Linked DNA regions of Caenorhabditis elegans. The protein of the gene in region 4 purifies or fractionates together with the protein of the main gene of each other region. This does not show direct contact. Each region holds a gene or a part of one and is shown on either strand. Other genes may lie near its edges.

What was found.
Region 1: the proteins of knl-3 (region 4) and mis-12 purify together in Caenorhabditis elegans (affinity purification with mass spectrometry; 2 studies listed by BioGRID). This does not show direct contact.
Region 2: the proteins of knl-3 (region 4) and knl-1 purify together in Caenorhabditis elegans (affinity purification with mass spectrometry; 2 studies listed by BioGRID). This does not show direct contact.
Region 3: the proteins of knl-3 (region 4) and him-10 purify together in Caenorhabditis elegans (affinity purification with mass spectrometry, with the first as the bait; one study listed by BioGRID). This does not show direct contact.

What each region holds. Positions count from the first base shown.
Region 1 is NC_003279.8:3,603,982-3,607,550, forward strand, and holds mis-12 (uncharacterized protein), read right to left. Parts: upstream 1,723-3,569; 5' UTR 1,714-1,722; coding exon 1,632-1,713; intron 1,576-1,631; coding exon 1,508-1,575; intron 1,460-1,507; coding exon 1,379-1,459; intron 1,328-1,378; coding exon 1,271-1,327; intron 1,220-1,270; coding exon 1,130-1,219; intron 925-1,129; coding exon of another isoform or gene 892-924; exon of another isoform or gene 848-891; coding exon 698-847; 3' UTR 534-697; downstream 1-533. Other genes in the region: Y47G6A.31 (RING-type domain-containing protein), read left to right, coding at 143-446; Y47G6A.25 (uncharacterized protein), read right to left, coding at 2,485-2,751, 2,799-2,884, 3,177-3,462, 3,512-3,569.
Region 2 is NC_003281.10:8,248,678-8,254,482, reverse strand, and holds knl-1 (Outer kinetochore KNL1 complex subunit knl-1), read right to left. Parts: upstream 3,852-5,805; 5' UTR 3,848-3,851; coding exon 3,702-3,847; intron 3,655-3,701; coding exon 3,565-3,654; intron 3,513-3,564; coding exon 3,107-3,512; intron 3,062-3,106; coding exon 2,336-3,061; intron 2,292-2,335; coding exon 1,748-2,291; intron 1,704-1,747; coding exon 1,363-1,703; intron 1,320-1,362; coding exon 540-1,319; downstream 1-539. Other genes in the region: C02F5.2 (DUF5356 domain-containing protein), read right to left, coding at 4,321-4,454, 4,501-4,591, 4,635-4,741, 4,792-4,846; C02F5.10 (uncharacterized protein), read left to right, coding at 5,011-5,140, 5,347-5,441, 5,489-5,671, 5,721-5,750. UniProt on the Caenorhabditis elegans protein: Acts as a component of the outer kinetochore KNL1 complex that serves as a docking point for spindle assembly checkpoint components and mediates microtubule-kinetochore interactions.
Region 3 is NC_003281.10:5,801,548-5,805,612, reverse strand, and holds him-10 (Kinetochore protein Nuf2 homolog), read right to left. Parts: upstream 2,354-4,065; 5' UTR 2,349-2,353; coding exon 2,244-2,348; intron 2,193-2,243; coding exon 2,038-2,192; intron 1,992-2,037; coding exon 1,440-1,991; intron 1,384-1,439; coding exon 1,078-1,383; intron 1,021-1,077; coding exon 963-1,020; intron 916-962; coding exon 619-915; 3' UTR 501-618; downstream 1-500. Other genes in the region: R12B2.3 (Ras-associating domain-containing protein), read right to left, coding at 1-3; polq-1 (DNA polymerase theta), read left to right, coding at 2,571-2,639, 2,690-2,813, 2,866-3,102, 3,153-3,797. UniProt on the Caenorhabditis elegans protein: Acts as a component of the essential kinetochore-associated NDC80 complex, which is required for chromosome segregation in mitosis and meiosis and spindle checkpoint activity.
Region 4 is NC_003283.11:1,867,275-1,871,112, reverse strand, and holds knl-3 (Kinetochore NuLl), read right to left. Parts: upstream 1,901-3,838; 5' UTR 1,900-1,900; coding exon 1,333-1,899; intron 1,280-1,332; coding exon 989-1,279; intron 926-988; coding exon 752-925; 3' UTR 555-751; downstream 1-554. Other genes in the region: T10B5.4 (aralkylamine N-acetyltransferase), read left to right, coding at 1-97, 379-537; T10B5.3 (Small-subunit processome Utp12 domain-containing protein), read left to right, coding at 2,552-2,745, 2,797-3,024, 3,074-3,312.

The DNA.
Region 1 (3,569 bases), on a different chromosome or scaffold from region 4:
GCCTTTAAAATCGTAGCTAGTAATAAAAATTAAAAGAATTAAAGATTTTTTCATGAAATCTCACAAAATTTTAAGAAAAAAAAAGGAACATCGCAGCTTAAAAAAAAACAAAAAATAATTTTTTCTCAAAATTTAATTCCAGCGTCTACTACTGCCCGACATGCATGCTCCAAAACTATGCAAATTGGGAAGATCGCCGAGAAAGCGGAGAGCACACGTTCTGCTTCGGCTGTGCGTGCAATCATATGGATGAGCACGAGCACAAAATCAAGCAGCTCGGCATGGGCTCCGAGATCAGCCTGGAAATTGATAAAGACGACGGGAAAACTTTGGATGACAAAAAATCGTGTATTTCGTCGAAAAAACGTGTTCTGTACTTCCTCTCGATCCTTGTAATTGCTGTGATTATTCTTTTTGTTCTGTGTATTTATTTCAAAATGATTTGATTTTGTGTTTCTAGACGATGAAATACGGGTCACAAAGATGTTCGGTGGAATGATTGTATGCTATTTTTCATGTACCTTTTCACGATTTTTCTCAAAAATAAATTTATTTTTATATAGTTGTTTAAGTTGGTAAATGTGTAGCTTCATAAGCACTCAAATTTGAGCTCAAGAAAAAAATTAGCATAGGATTAAAAAAAAAGAAAATAAAGAGAAATCAAATATTTAAAATATCGATTTTCGAACAAATAAGGTTAAACTGGAGACATTCGTGTTGGGCTATCGGGGACAATTCTCTTCTGGCTTATAAGCTGCTCTTGGCTCTTCTCCATCACATGGAGCACTTCAATAGCATTGTTCACTGCTTCTAGCTCGTCATGTCGTTTTGCCAGTTTGATGCGGAGCTGAACATTTGGAATTTGAAGCTTTTATGTGAAAATTGGAAAGGTTAGATGCAAAAACTGGCGATTTTAGCAGGTTTCTAAAATTAAGCAATTTTTCTTGAATTTTTTGACGATTTTCAGTCTAGTCGCGGTCATTTTTACTCAACTTGCAGCCTTTTTCAGTCATTGTAGTCTATTTTGGACAGTTTTAAGCTATTTTCAGTATATTTTCCGCATTTTTAAGTCCATTTAGTAGTGAAGAAAAAAAAAATTCTGATAGGTTCCTCATTTATTTTTATTTACCTGTCGAATTTTCTCCAATTTCTCGTCGAACTCCTTCTCGACCTGTTTCAGACTTTTGTGCTCCTTGGCCGACGCGATGAGCATTTTCTTCTGAAAAATGATTTTTTAAATAAATAATTTCCGAAAAAAGGCAATTCTTACGCATTCTGGAAGAGTCACAGAGGCGGGAATTCTGAAGATATTTGTGACGCAGAATCTCTGAAAAAAATTGGCATAAATTCAGATATTTAATCGAGAAATATGTCAAACCTTCATCATTTTGAATGCTTTCTCGTTAGTTTTGTCGCTGAATGGGAAGGATAGCAAGCAGAGACGGTCTTTGTCGGTGAGCTGAAAATTAAATTTTTTAAAATTAAATTTCTTTTTTGAAAAAAAAACCTTTTTCAATGAGTTCTTAAACTCATTGCTGCAAACTTCTTCCCATGCGTCGACGTAAATATTGAAAACTGAAAGATTTCTGATTTTTCCGCAAAAAAACGTTCGAAAATTCAATAAAACTCACTGGAATCGCTGAACGAACCGGCCGAAAATCCGAAAAACGAGATTTGATTTTCATTAGAGATTCCCGACAATTCGCTCTCCATTTTTAGTTTCTGAATTGAATTTTTAAAGAATAAATGTTCAGGATTAAATCAAGAAATGAGGGCGAAAAACTGTTTTTGAAGATTATTGGTTCGCGGGAGGTGAGGTGTGCATACACGCTCACGTCGCATTGCGGACATGGAACATGGATACATATTTATATTTATTATTAAACAGGCGTAAAAATTTTGCAATTTTCCTCCAAAAATACTGTTTCTGGTCTCGAAACGACAATTATTTGTTGAATGAAACGGGTGTGCGCTTTTAAGGATTACTGTAATTTCAAACTTTTGTCGCTGCGGATATTTTATCGATTTTTCATGGTTTTCTGTGTGACAATAGTTTTGTTAGTTAAAAACTGGATGAAAATTATGAAAAATAAATAAAGAAAGTCTTTAAAAAATAAAAAATGACGGAAAATTATCCAAAAATTGGAATTTTCTCAAAATCAAAAGTCGAAAATTGTCGCTTTTTCCTTTTTTTTTTTAACTCTAAAAATCGGAAAAAATTTATAAAATCAAAAAAGGCATATTTTTCGATTCTCTGGGAAATTCCTATCGCATTCAGCACAAAATTGTCGTGTCGAGACCTGGTACCGTATTTTCGGTGGAAAATCGCAGTTCCTGGGTAATCAATAGGAGGAATTAAAAAGTTAAAAAAAAAGTAATTTTGGCTGTAAACCAATAAATAAAACAACGAAACAAACCTAAATACCTATAAATTCCAAGTGCTTTATTCTAAAATTCGATCCTCTAAAAATCTCAAAAAATAAATCATTTATTATTATTATCATCTTCGAAGGGCGTGGGCGCTGTCAAAAGTCCCTGATCCGTTTGCCACGTGGAAGTGAACTTCATGAAGGCGTCTCGAGCATCCAAAGCGTCATATTCCCTGGCGAAAGCCTCAAATTGTGCTCTTTTTTCTTCAACTGAAGAAGCGATCCGTTCGATTCGAGACAATCTTCGTTTCAGCTGCTTCCGTTCTATCGGTGCAATTTGCTCGTATGAGTCGTCGGGAAGCGGTCTAGAATGTTCACCTGACTGAAAAATTTGATTTTATTCTCAAACAAAAACCAGAAAAAGCTGACCTGATTTACAAATTTCAGGGTTTTCCAGAGACATTTTCCCAGAGATGCTTTGAGTTGAATCAGGGTGATTGATGTTTCATCGTTTTCTGAAATTGGATTTTACAGTTGGATTTTACAAATTTGCCAAAAAAAAAACAAATTTTGTAATGAGATTGCCAAAGAAAATCTCAAAATTTTTTTTTGAGTGGTTAAAAATTTCGAAAAAGTGGCTAATTTCAGCTAAAACTCCTAGTTTTGGCTGATTCGAAAATTCAAAATCGAATATTTTACCAAAAATTGGAGAAATTGTCCAATTTTTTCGAAATTTTAATCCCAAAAATCTTTTAAAAAGAGATTTTTCAGAGGTTCCATTACGAAATCCGTACTCCCAGAACGGACCACTCTCATACGCCACCATGATACAGAATCCACGAAGTTTCGGTTTTGAAGAGAACGAGAAAAGAGCAGTTTGAGGACGTTTCGTTTCGTTTAACAAGTACTGTGATAAGGAAAAAAGAATCTTATTTCCAAGTTTAGAATCTGTTGTAATGTCCATTTTCAGCTTATTTGATCGTTTGCTTCCCAGGAATCCCTGACGGCAGAGCTCGATTTCAGGCAAAAATCCGAGAAATGAAATAGAGTCGATCAGTGTTACATGGCTTCCTATTTTTTGTTTCTTGAATAGCTGCAAATTTGAAATAAATACTTGAATTTCAAAATTTCACTAAAAACACCTTAATCTTGAATTTATCGCTTCCAAATCTACAAATAATTTCCTTTTCGCTCATTTTT
Region 2 (5,805 bases), on a different chromosome or scaffold from region 4:
TTACTGCTCACCTACGTACCTATGTACCTCCCGAGGTGTCAAACTCTTGCCTACCCGCCTTATTATGTATATTCTATTTGGAACTACAGTAGTAAATAGTAAGCTAAAATTATTTTTAAGAGAGGAGACTGAAGCTCCGATTTTTTAAACTCCGATTTTTAAACGCACAATAACTTCATTTTACAAAAAAAAACACGGCTACAAAAAAATTTGGTTACAAGGAATATTTATTCATTTGACTATTCAAACCATAAGTCTCCTTTAGATTGATTGAGAATGAACTAGGAATAAAAACATAACTTTGTGATTGCTCTGAGGCATAAATGTATAGGGGAAAAGGTAAACATCTTGAAGGAAATACAGCAAGTGCGGTTGATGCACAATGGGTATTTTTAGATGAAAAAAAAACTAAAATATATGGCACATTAGGTAAAGAATTATATGAGCATCAGAAGTATTGTAGGCCTGATGCAAGGGAAGGGTGAAGGCGGCATCTAAAATTATAATTTTTGACTGTTAATTTTTCGATATTAAACTCACTAGAAGTTCACAATTTTCTTAACAGCCTTAGAGAACACCAGCATTCGACTTTTCTTCAAATCGTTCCTCTGGGCAAACTTCTCGTGTTCTTCCGCGACTTTCATTTCGAGAGCATTTTTCTCTGAACGAAGTGCAATCATGTTTGAGCGTACATTTCGGAGTGCTTTCATTTTCTGGTCGAATTCCCATTGCTTCATCTCCATCCACTCCTTTCGGATTTTCCCGCTCTCTTCGCGTGATGGAGGAAGACTTCTCAGCTTTTCTAGTTCTTTTTGAACGACAGCCATCTTATCGAGACCTCTTAGCTGCTCAGCCATTTTCGAATTTCCTTGTTCTAGTTCAGCAATTTCCTGGTCACTTTCAATTTTTTTCTCGAGTGCAAATTTCAGACGAAGCTCCAAAAACTTGATTTCCGCGTCTTTTCTTGCAATCATAATCGCTTCTCGCTCATCATGACTAAACTTCAAGAGCTCCTTAGTCTTCAACATATCAATTTTCTCAGCAGAAAGTTGATTGGTTGAATTCAGAGAATCAATCTCGTGTTGTACTTTCATTTTCTCGTTTTCAACAATACGCTGAAATTTGAGAGCTTCTGGATGTTGTTCAGTGGACGGATCTTCAGATGTTAAATATACAACGTTGACCACAGCTGGATCGAAGTCTGGCATTTCGAATTGAGGAGATGGAGGTGGAAGTTGTACATTTTGTGACATCAATGATGGTGTTCCTGGGGCAGCAGTTTTTGAAGAATTCAGATGAGGAGAGCGGACTGATGTATTCTGAAAGACATTTTCGATTCAATACTCAAAGAGATATTCTTACCATCGCGAGAATATCTCTTCCCGAATCGTTCAAACTCATACTCGGCATCGAATCTTGACTCGTCTGCATAGTTTTATTCTGTCGATATTCTGTCAGAGCTTCCATTGTTTGCCCATTCATCGACATTATAGAATTCTCCAACGCAACACGACGAGGAGATTCACGAGCAGAATTCAGAAGAGATCGACGTCGTTTAGAGATAGACTGGTTGATGCTCAAATTGAAAGCCGAATATGTTGAAATCTTGGACGTGTTCACTGCTTCCGAGTCGACATTGTTCATGATTTGCGATGTTTCATTATGGCCTTGGAATGTGAAATTCGCGCCAGTATTCGAGGTATCTAAAACATACTTTTAATAGAGTTATTGAATAAACGAAATTTACCATTTTTCTGCAAAGTCTCATCTCCGAATTGCTCCTGCTCTTTGTTACTGTTCAGTTCAACAGCAATAGACTCATGGACCATGCTAATGTCTTCACACGTTGTAATTTGCATAGTTTTAAGAAGAGTATTGTTGTCCAATTCCATCGAATTGTTGAGAGTTGCACTCGAGTTGTGAAGGGCTGATGGTTCTTTAGTGGCAAGAGAAGCTGACTGTGAAGCAAGGATGACTGGCGTCTTCGACGAACCATCGTCTTCCAACTTTTGTGCTACATCAATCATGGAGGAGTGCATAAAAGCCCTTTCTTCTTCGATGAGCATAAACGACTTTTTGTCGATTTCCGAATGAACAGAAGATTCGTTTATCATGGATACGTTTTCTGAAGCATTTTCCTCTTGCCGCTCGAGAGACGTGTAGACATCATTAGTTGTAGTCACTTCTACATTCGACTTTGGCAACGTCAAGGTTCCATCATTTTGTGTCTCGTCAATGCTCATTTCGTCACCGAACACGATAGATTTCTGCGAATCAATGATCGAGTTGTTCTGAAAGAAATACATTTTTATTGGAAAGTGTGCTTAAAACTTACCGCTCCGATCTTTACTCTGGCAGGACTCTGGAACACAGCCATGGTGTCGTTTACTGCAGGTGAATCTCGAATCACCGAAATGTCCATTAAATCCTCCTTTTGAAGTTGCAAGCCGTCGTTCTGCTGATTACCAGCCTCACATGGTTGTTGTTCAGTGATATCCATATCCATGTCTAAATCTTCCACCTCATCTGCGATACTCGGGTATTTCGTTGATTTGTCAGCGGCTTCAATCGTTTTCTCGAGATCCATGCTGCTCTTACTGACGTGTTTCGGGCTGTTGAACATCGCCATAGTGTCATTTACTAGAACTTTCGGAATAGAAATGTCCATAAGCTGACTTGTCTCGAATTGATCATTTTTCTTCTCCGCGTTTAATACGGCCTGATCAGTGATGTCCATGTCCACAGGTACGACGTTCGAGGCGATATTTATTAGATTCTGAGGAACACCCAAACCCTTATTACAGATGTCTCTCGGACTGTTGAAAATGGCCAAAGTATCATTAACTTGAACTTGTGGCGCCGAAATGTCCATCAGTTGACTTGGCCCGAATGTATCATTTTTCTTTTCTTCAATTAAAGTGTGATGTTCAGTGATGTCCATGTCTACAGGCATGACGTTTGAATTAATCGGAATCCGGATAGCATTCATGGTATTATTTTCATCTAATTTACTCGTATCCATTTCAGCGGCTTCCAAGTTTGTGAAATTGAACACATTCATCTGTAAAATTAAGATAATTTGGTTCCTTCTATTAATTCAACATACCGTTTCATCGCACTGGCCGCCCGCTGCTTTTGATTCATCGAGGTCCATCGGTATAGTTCTATTCATTGTAGCGTTATGCTTCGGAACTTTGGGAATCGTGAAAAGAACTGAACGATCAACTGACATATCCTTATCTTCTTGATTCGTTGTATTGAACATTGCTAAGGTATCATCCAGTGGCATACTAACAATTCGCTCGGTAACTTTTGTTGTGGTTTCGACGATCTTTTCGTATAATAGTGTTGGATCTCTTGTGGTTTCAAACAATCTCGCCGTTTCGTTGTTCTCGTTGATAGTTGTTTCGAGAGACATATCCATAGTTTTATCGAGATTACCACCGCCGAACACTTGAAATGAGGACGTGCAGGCCGGAGATTCGGAAATATCCATGTTTCCGCCACGTGGTCTTAAAAAGATTTTTACGTATTCATTATTTCACGTTAAAGGATGGAACTCACGTCAAAATACCATCTGATCCAATAGTGTCAGTAATCTTCTCCTTAACTGGTGTGGCGTCAAGAATTTTACCATGGTCCCTGTCATACTGCCTGAAATAATTATTTTATTGATAAATTATTCACTGACTCTAACTGACTTGACATGCTTCACGTTATGAAAGCTGACTCGTCGATTAGTTGTTGTGGAACTAGGCCCACTGTTCATGACGGTTTCCTCGATGGTTTCGACGGCTTGCCGCACCTTGAGAATCGAGTTCCGCTTCTTACGAGGCTCCATCGACATGGCTGTAAATATGTTTTAAAAATGGTAATAAATTATGATTAAAAAAATAACAAAACAACGGCAGCATAAACTTCGTTAAATGGGAAAAGTAAAAAAGTGAAAAGTAAACGAAGGCAGTTTTGCTTGGCGGCAAATCTCTGTTTGAAATTGAACTTGTACAATGGAGCGAAGCTGCACTCGACACACCACCGGTTCCGTAGAACGCACACTACGAGTAATTCCTTAACTTGGGGCAGTATAATACAATTTTAATAGTTTAAAAAACCAATTGTTTCAAAAATTAGATAAAATTCAATATTAATAAATAAATATATGTACCATTACAGCTGATACACATTGCAAAAATATTTTCTACGAAATTCGAATTCTCAAAATCCGTAGTTTCTCTTGTGAGTACTGTATTTAGATATTTTTTCAGGCAGATTTCAATTAATTTTTTTTTAACCGTTAAGCTTTATTCAACACATAGAGAATCAGGCGGTATCTCTCCAGTCAGGGAATTCTAATTTTATTTGCACTTCTGTTCCATCTGGTGTAGTTTTATCCAAGAGCAATTGACATGATTTCTGAATCAATCGAGCCAAATTGTGGTGTTCTACGACAGGCTCTAAACCAATACAAATTAAGTTCCCAGAATTTTGTGATTTCTCAACTTAAAGGCAATGGAGTTTGTGGTGGAGATTCTTCAGTGACAATTATAGTTTCCATGTTCTTCTCAGTTGCTGAGAACACATTAACTCGATTCTGGAAAAGTTTTAATGAAAATCTACGTAAAAATAAAAATTACCGGCTTCTTTTTCACATTGAGAAGTTCTGCAGAATACGGATCATCTGATGCGTTCCATTCCGATTCTGTATAATTTTGAAGCGCTTCTCCAGTTGAGCTTGGTGGAACTAAAACTTTTTATTAAAAAAAAAACCGAAAAGTTATATATATTACTCACGGCTTATAGAAGTATCAGATTTACTAGGATTTTCTTCCTTCTTTTTGTTGTCCATCTTGTATTTGAAAATGATTTGTAAAATACATTTCCATAAGTGAAAACTCAAAATTACGTGTATTGCATTTTTTTTTCGAAATCTTTTAATTAAGAAAAAACATCTTTTGAAAAGGAAATAATTTTATTCTTCAAAACGATAAAATCAAAATCAAGAGGCAAAAAATGGCAGAGCAGCAACCAAGCAAAGAAGAAAAGAAAGAAGATAAAAAAGACGAAAAAGAAGAGGAACTACCAGCACCAAGTGTTCAGCAATCTATTCGACAGTTGCCGAAGATTCAAATTACTGATGATGGTAAGGATGAAATTTCAATATTACACAGATGCGAAATTTTGTTAGTTTACGCTGAGAAGTACGGTGCCCGGTCTCGACACGACCGAAATATTTTTAGGCAGCGTTTTTAGTTAGAAAACAGGCGTATGGCTTTAAGGACTACAGTAACCCAACTCCAAGCTATTTTACAGTTTTCGCATCTGGACAATACAAAGTTTAATTTCCAGATAAGGGCGAACAGCTGCCAGAATGCACTGAAGGAGAGTGGGATGCCAGTGATGAACCGTTCTCAGCTGAACTTCTGAACGTCAAAAATGCTCCAGTAAATATTCAAATTTGTAGTAAATCCTTCTAATCATCCAATTTCAGAACAAGGTATCCGTGTTCAGTGGTCCTTATCGTTCCAAAGAAACCATTGAAAAAATCAAAAAGTTCAGAGCAGCAATGCCTCCTGTCATTCCAATCATTGACGAACGGCCAGATAAGCTGGCTCAAATGATGAGTCGTATTTTCAGTGAGATAATTGACGGACGTGATCTTTCGAAGATTAAGGTATTTTTCTTTATAAAGTAAATGACAAAGGAAATTACAAATTTTACAGGTGACAGTTAGCACACAATTGCCGCAATGATTGGATTTGACAATATGAGATCGGTTGTAAATATTGACCAATAAACAATTAATTT
Region 3 (4,065 bases), on a different chromosome or scaffold from region 4:
CATAATTTGTAGAGTGAATTTTTCAGAAATACAATACAAAAATTGAGAAATGAACGAAAAATGTCAATGTTGAATGCAATAACTCGAGGCCCGCACGATTTATTTAAATTTATTTAGAATTTTGGTAGGATAATATTCAATTCAGAAGGACAATTCCAACTTGTAGAGCTAATGAGCGAAGAGAAGTTTAAAATTTCTGGAAAAGTTTTCATTTCAAGATAATTTTTTTTTCAAAAAACGTTTCAAAACTTCCGACTCTCACTTATTCCCTGTTTGAGCTTTCTCCAAAATAAGAAACCACGCCCACTTTTTGTCTTACTGTAGTCTTAAAGACGCAAACAAAAAAATACAAGGCAAAAAATTCAAAATTTCTAATTTTATTTTTAATTAAAAACAGAGGCACATAATCTCCCCGTAAATACCACTTGAGTGAATTCTTACCTGAAAAGTAAATTGGTGTGAAATTTCTAGAGCCTGGGAATGAAAAGAAAACATTTGAAAATAAAGACCACATGATTTATTTAGACTCAGTTAAAATTTTGTTATTGGTATGGAAGAAAGCATAACATTTACATTGAATAGAGATCAAATGAAGTGAAATTTTCGAGTTGAGTCATTCTATTTGAAAACGGAAAAACTCGAATCGTTAGGTTGTGGATCACAATTTTCCGTGTTCTCTCCGGCGTCGATTGTCGATGATCCGAATGTGTAATCACTCAGAAGGCGTCCGGTAAGAGAGCTTTTTAGACGTTCCATTTCACGTGCAGCTGCAGTGTTCTTCTCAAAAGCTACTTTCTGGGTTTCTTTGAACATTGCATTAAGTTTTGCGAATTTTGCAACAGCATCTTGGCAAGAGTTGGTGATTTGGGAAATCGTCTCACTGTGTGCGTTTTTTAGAGCGAGGAGTTCTTGCTTCTGAAAAAAATGTTGGTGAGTTTTATGAAGATTGATCTGACAAAAACCTTTTTAGCAATTTCCTGTGACACATCTGGCTGACTAGTTTTCAAATTTGCGATTTGCCTGAAAGATTTACATCGTTTAAAAAAATGTTTTCAAAGTATCAAATAAATTCCTCACTCGGTAATCTCCTCAATTCTACGCTGACGCTCTTCACTTTTCTGCGTGTGTTCTATACGCAATTGTTCATGAGTCTCCGACTGCTCGACGAGTCGCTTTTGTGCCGTTTCCATCTCCTTCATCATAAAATCCAATTGCTCCTCCATTTCCTTGAGCTTTCGAAGATTCTCACTTTCAACATCGATCAGGTCAATGATAACTTCTCGAACTTCAGTCCACTGATGGATCTTCTCAATAATCACTGGCACGTTCTTCTCCGAGTTGATGCAAATTTCACGAGCCTCGAGTTTTGCTTGAAGGCCTTTTCTGAAAATAATTACTTTTATTTTGAATTTTTGGAGAGACTGAAGATATATCAGTACTTTGATGATTCAAGACAATCGCGGAGCTCTTCAATGTGACGTTTCCTTTCCTCCATTTCTTGTTTCAGCTGTTCCGGCGATGTCAGAACTTCTTCATTCAAATGCTCAATTGTCTTTTTACCAGTTAGCATTTCCTTTTCGAGGGCTTGAATGTGCAGAATAGCTTCTTCTTTCTGCTTGTCGAGTTCTTCATTAATTTGACGAGTTTCGGTATATTCGTTCACAACATTTTTAAGTTCTGCCTTCGCATTGCTCTGTTCGTTGATTAATTCATGCTCATGACGTTTTCTTATGCTTTGTTTCGCGAGAAGATCATTTTTCTTCTTCTCGGCTTCTAACAACTCTTCCCGAATCTTTTCCATTTCGAACTTTCGATCACTGAACTCTTCGCTAATTTCATTGAACGCTGGAGTGGCCAATTCGTGAAGTTTCAGAAAATCTACAAGAAAACTTGTCAGCTTTCTGAATCGATGTTCGTGTTTTGCAGGTGTCACGAGATCGCACATCGTCAAGTCCAGCTTGTTGCCAGAATTATCTTTGATAAATGCTTTCCTGAAAAAATATTTCAGCAAATCTAACATTAAAATTAAAATCTTACATGCATTGGAAGAGAATAATGATAGGAATGCTCTTTTTATGCAATTCTGGATCATAATCACAGTTGGCGGACAGCGGAAGGGTCGTCAGCGAGCTTTCCGACACATTTAACACAAGCCTCACAAAATTAGCAAATATTTGTTGCGCTATTTCTGCCTGAAATCGGGTTATTTGTGCTGATGAATTCAATATTCTGTTCAAACTTACGGTTGGCTTGATAATGTCATCGGCGACAAGGCCCATATGCAATTTTTGACCAAGATACTTTGAAATCATCCGCGGATCATACACAATTAGTACAACGTTTGACATTTCTCCTGAAAAATGGAATTTCAGTTCTAAAAACACAAAAATAAAGTTAGAAATTGTTAAAAACAAAAAAGTTTATTTGAATTCGCCGAAGAGCGCGCCAAAACATGTGACATTTCTCGGCCGTGAAAACTAGGCCACCGCGGCCACAAACAAATTTTAGTTTTCTTCGCTGAAAAAAACATGTTTTTCAGTCTGAAATCAGAGTTTTTAGTATGAAACAAGATGGACGAGGCTTCCTGTAGATTTCCAGAATGGGTTTCTTCAAAAATCATCGATTATTACGCAGAGCAGGTAACATAAATCGCTGTGATGAAATAGGGACAAAATTTTTTTAATTTCAGAACATCAAAGCGCTGTTCGATTGGCAGATTGATGTGTTGAATGAGGCAAGACAATTTGAAGATCAACACTTGATATTCAGTGCGCCAACAAGTGCTGGGAAAAGCATTGTAGCTGAACTTTTATGTATTATTTTATCTGGTTTAAAGAATAAATGTTTAAAAACTGTAATTTTCAGCATGGAAAGTCGCTTCAACTGGTAGAAAGGTACTCTTCGTACTTCCTTATATCTCCGTGGCTCGAGAGAAACTTCATCAAATTCAACGGTGTTGGAGACGAGATGACATTTCTGTCTGTGGCTTCATTGGTCCACAGGCCTCAAATCCAAATGAGTGGCTTGGGGCAGTTTGTACCATCGAAAAAGCAGCAAGTTTGACAAATCGAGCATTATCAGAAGATTGGTTTGAGGAAATTGGTTAGATAAATCGATTTTAATTTAAAATTTTCACAAAAAGTAGCTTTCAGGAATGATAGTCGTTGATGAAATGCACATGGTTTTCGATTCGTCTCGTGGTGCACACATTGAGCACATGCTCTCGAAAGTTTTGCTCTGGAACCAATCTGCACTGGAAAAAGTTAGAATTATCGGAATGAGTGCAACTATTCCAGAACTTTATCGAATAGGCAAATGGCTGGACGGTGCGAAAGTTTTCGAAGCAAGATTTCGACCAATTGTTCTACAAAATCATATTGTAATTGGTTCGGAGTTGAGGAAATCTGGAGATAACAAAGTTCTAAGAGAATTCTCTGAAGATCCATTAATATTGCTTACCGAAGAGAGTTTTCGCCGCAATTCTCAGACTTTGGTAATGATTTCTTCGAAACTTGATGCCGAGAAGACTGCTTTGAATATTGCGTCGAGATTCCATGAGATCAATAAAACCGACAGCTCATTGTTGGAAATATTAAAAGAACGAGCCAATGGACTATTATTTATAAAGCATGGATTGGAACGGAATGGTTGCAAGGATCGGAATGTTATGTCAACACTTGCATGGGGAGTAGCATATCATCATGCTGGATTGACGATGGAGGAAAGAGAATGCATTGAACTAGGATTTCGGGAGAAAAATATTGTTATTCTTGTGGCTACAAGTACTTTGGCTTCAGGTGAGTGTTTTAAAATTTTAATTGTGGTCAACCGAAATATCGGAAGAAATTAAAAGCAAAATGTTTGTTGAAATATTTTTGGGGAAAAAATTAAATCAAACAATAATTTTCATTTAGGGTGAAGATTTGTTGATAAAAATTTACTTTAAACTTTCAAAAAATACTATTCACTCAAGAATTTCCAGTTGTTTGCTAATCCCGCTCTTCCCTTTTTTTTAAATCGAAAAGCGAAAATTTTTCGGTTTTTTTTTCGAGATTCCAAAATGTC
Region 4 (3,838 bases):
GCTCGTCGAGAAGAGTCTGGAAAATGCTGTGAAGGAAGATTGCGAGTACGTGGCAACCGTTGCAACTGCTGTGGCTTCTCAGAATATTTTCAGCAAGGATAGTAGTTTCTTATTCAATAAAATTTCCGCTTTTTACGAAAAAAATAGAGCGAAAAGTCAGAAAACCTATAAAAAATACAGTACCCGTGTTTAAAGGCACACACACCACATCGGAAGCGTGGCGAGACCTTTGACCACGTGGCAAGACCAATTGAGGCACCACGAAATCTAGAACCGGTGGGATATCGGATCTGGCCCGTTTCTTTGCGTTGGCACTTGAATCCGTGGTGCCTCGATGAATTTTCGATCTAAAAGCTTCAAAAACTAATAAAATTCCAGTGTGGTCTCACAACACTTCGCGAAATGCCATTTTCCTGTTTTCGAAACAATGGCGACGTGGTTTTCGAGAACCTCGTCGACGGTGGAGTCAGCGGGAAACTAATGGGGAAGAAGCTAGAAAAACATGCAAATGAGGAGGAAGAGGACGACCTTCGATAGCGATAGCAACTCAAATTAAAGAAACATATATTTATAAAGGACCAAAGCAGCTAGGATCTCAACTTCAGATACTCAAAACCAATAATTAAAGTACACGTAATGAAATTGACACTTAATAAGCAAGACCTAGGCTATGAATAAAATATTATACATGTATTTATGAAATCAATTGTGTCAGAAATAGAATATTATACAGAGCGTGAGAAATCAGAAATCAGAATTCAAAAATTGGAATCGGCTTGATTTTGCTCATTAGAGCATCGATTCGCTCGAAGCCCTGCTTGATTTCCTCCCGGCGAGCGAGCGCTTCCTCTTCCTCTTTTCGCATTTTCGCCAGAAATTCATCCTTCTCTCTCTTGATCTTGTTGAGACTCTCCAGCTTTTCTTCCTGGAAATATAATATTGTATTTTTATTTTTAAAAATCATATTTAAATAATTTGAAACTCTCACCAGCATCCCGCGCTCATCCTCCAGCTGCTGGTTCTCCTTTTGTGCAGTATTCACGTTTCCGGCATCCTGGGTTTTGTCGAGAAAACTTCCGTGAAGTCTCGCAACGATATCATTTGGCGATTCTTCTTTACGCAGAGTCATGTCCAGGGTCTCGAGGCGAAGAGGCAGAGCGGACGAGATGAAGCTGTCCTTGGCGATTTCAATAGCTGACTTGAGCTTAGTTTCGCGGGATTTGAAAACCGCTTCCATGTCGTCGATATTCCGCGCCAGCTGTGCATCGTATTGGCTCATCTGAAAATGAAAATTTTAGATTTAAATGTAAAGTTAAAAATCGATAATACTACCTCTTTGATGTCGGTGGCCAACTTTTTCATGTAACCCGACATCTCCTGCGGAATCTTTGCCATCAGAAGCTCCAGTTGCGTCGAGTCATCAGCCTTGCGATCCTCGTTCGTAGTGTCTTTGCTGGTGAAGAACAGACGCTTCCCAGGCGTTGGCATCGACTTTCTCGAGGATCTTCTGCGTGGAGTCGTCGATTTTTCGCAAGGAGTTACGCCACGTGTCGGCGTTGCTCGCTGGGGCGACGGAACGATGGTTCCATCAACTTCCATCGGCTCAACGTCGTCGTCATCTTCGTGTTCCGAAACACTGAAAGTTTCTGGGCAACCTTGTGTTTCGTCTGGAACCTTCAAAGTAGGGCCACTAGCGCACGCGTCTGCAGCCAGAAAGGTGCCGTCTTTATTTCTGTCGGTGACTTCCGAAACATCGTGCTCGAGGGCAAAAACTGGCGGCCCTGCACGTGGCACCTCTCGAGCCACTTTCTTCTTTGGAACTGCTGATGATGAGCCGACGGGTGATGCGAAGAGCGCGGCTCTGACCGAGAATGTGGTGTCGTTTGATTTTTGAGACATTCTGAAATGAATTAGTGATTAAAAATGAGAAAATAACGTTGAAAACAAAGAAATGGCTTATTTTAATATGAAAATCCAACTTTTTTGATCTAAAATTGATAGAAAACGGGTTTTTCTATTTGAAAATAAAACTCATTTTTGTTAAAAAGCTTGCAGTTTGCCGAAAAATGCCGTAAAACATTATTTTCAGATAGACAAACCCGTTTTCTGCATTTTTATTTCAATTTTAGACAATTTTCGCTTAAAAAAGTTGGATTTTCATGTTGAAATAAGCCAGTTTCGTGTATTTTCCGGAAAAAACTGCCGCAAATGAAATGGAAATAAGAGAAAATCGCAAATTTTGGGCCCAAAATCCACCGAATGAAGGGGTCACGTTCAAAATTCGCGGGGTTAATTTGCCGCGCCAACCCCGTCACTGACGCATTTCTCGTCGCTTGCGCGTTTGCGGTGCAAAATTTTTAATCTTTATTTTCCTTATTTCCAGGCGTTTTTGAAGAGTTTTTCATGGTTTTCAGGCGTATTTTATTGATTTTTTATTGTTCTTATTAGTTTTTAAAGCTTTTTTACCGTGAAATGTATCTTTTTTGCGATTATTGTGCGTAAAATGGCCTTAAAATCGAATTTTCCAATATTTTTTTGCAGTTTCCAGAAAATGGCTCGAGAACGGAAAGCCAGGAAATCAAATGTGGCGGCAGTTACATCTCCTGCAACTCCTGAGAAAATCGAGTCCCCTGTAGTAAATGGGCATTCGCATATTAACGGTTCGCTTCGAAATGGGAAAAAACTGAGTGAATCGGAGAAAGAGGCCAACAAACCGCTCGGAGATCGTGAAAAAGAGCCAGCCACGTAGGATTATTGGTGGATTTTCGATAATATTCAATTATTTCCGATTTTCAGGCCAACTTCTGAACTCAAAAAGGGAAAAACGAGTGGTAGCGGCGGTGGATCACAATGTGTTCTGCTTACTCAGGGAATAATGGCTAATGATAGTGCAAAAATCGACTCAGTCATTAGAAATTTGAATTCTGAAATTATTCACGCTACCCTCCGTGATCTCCAGCCGATGCAGGTCTTGCCATTGCTCAAAATCATCGAATCTCGCTTGAAAACGAGGAATGCTGCAGAGTAAATCGAATTTTTAGTACTAATTCCTCCTAATTTATTGATTTTCCAGCATTCGTCCAACCATCCGATGGGCTCAAATCGCCTTCTCAATTCACATGCCTTATCTCAGCTCACTTCCGAATTTGGAGAAGGAAATTGGCGGTTTAATCGGCTGGCTGCGCTCAAGAGTCGGTCATCATCGAGATTTGTTGGCTCTTCACGGAAAAATATCCACAATCGCTGATCTTATCAAGAGACGAACTAATAATGTGGTTATTGTGCAGCAGCCGTTGGTTGTGTTCAATAATGGTAATATTTTGAGCGGATTTTCGCGGAAAATTACGCGCAAGATATTTTCCAGCGGAAAAGCCTGTGTTTCCCACGTTTTTCAGTGAAAATTCACTTGGTTTATCTGAAAATAGCATTGTTTTTAGTGGAAAAAGTGGAAAAAAACGCAGAAAAATGCAACTTTCAGGCAATTTTTGGGCATTTTCTCCAATATTTCTGCTGAAAAGTGTGTTATTTTCATATAAACCGAGAGAATGCGGCAAAATAGAATTTTTTGTAGATAAGCTCGGAAAATGAATTTTTGCAGGTTTTTTATAAAAAAACATTAAAAATCAGATTTTTCCGCGGTTTTTAGTATATAATAAGGTGAATATTCCTGTTCTCAATTATTTTCGGAAAATTCTACAAAAAGCCTGTACTTCCCAAATTTTTCAATAAAATCAGTCTCAAAACATAGAAATTCACTTGTTTTTACTGAAAATAACATTATTTTTAGTGGAAAAATTGGAAAAAGAGCAGAAAAATTGCCTGAAAGTTGCCGATGACC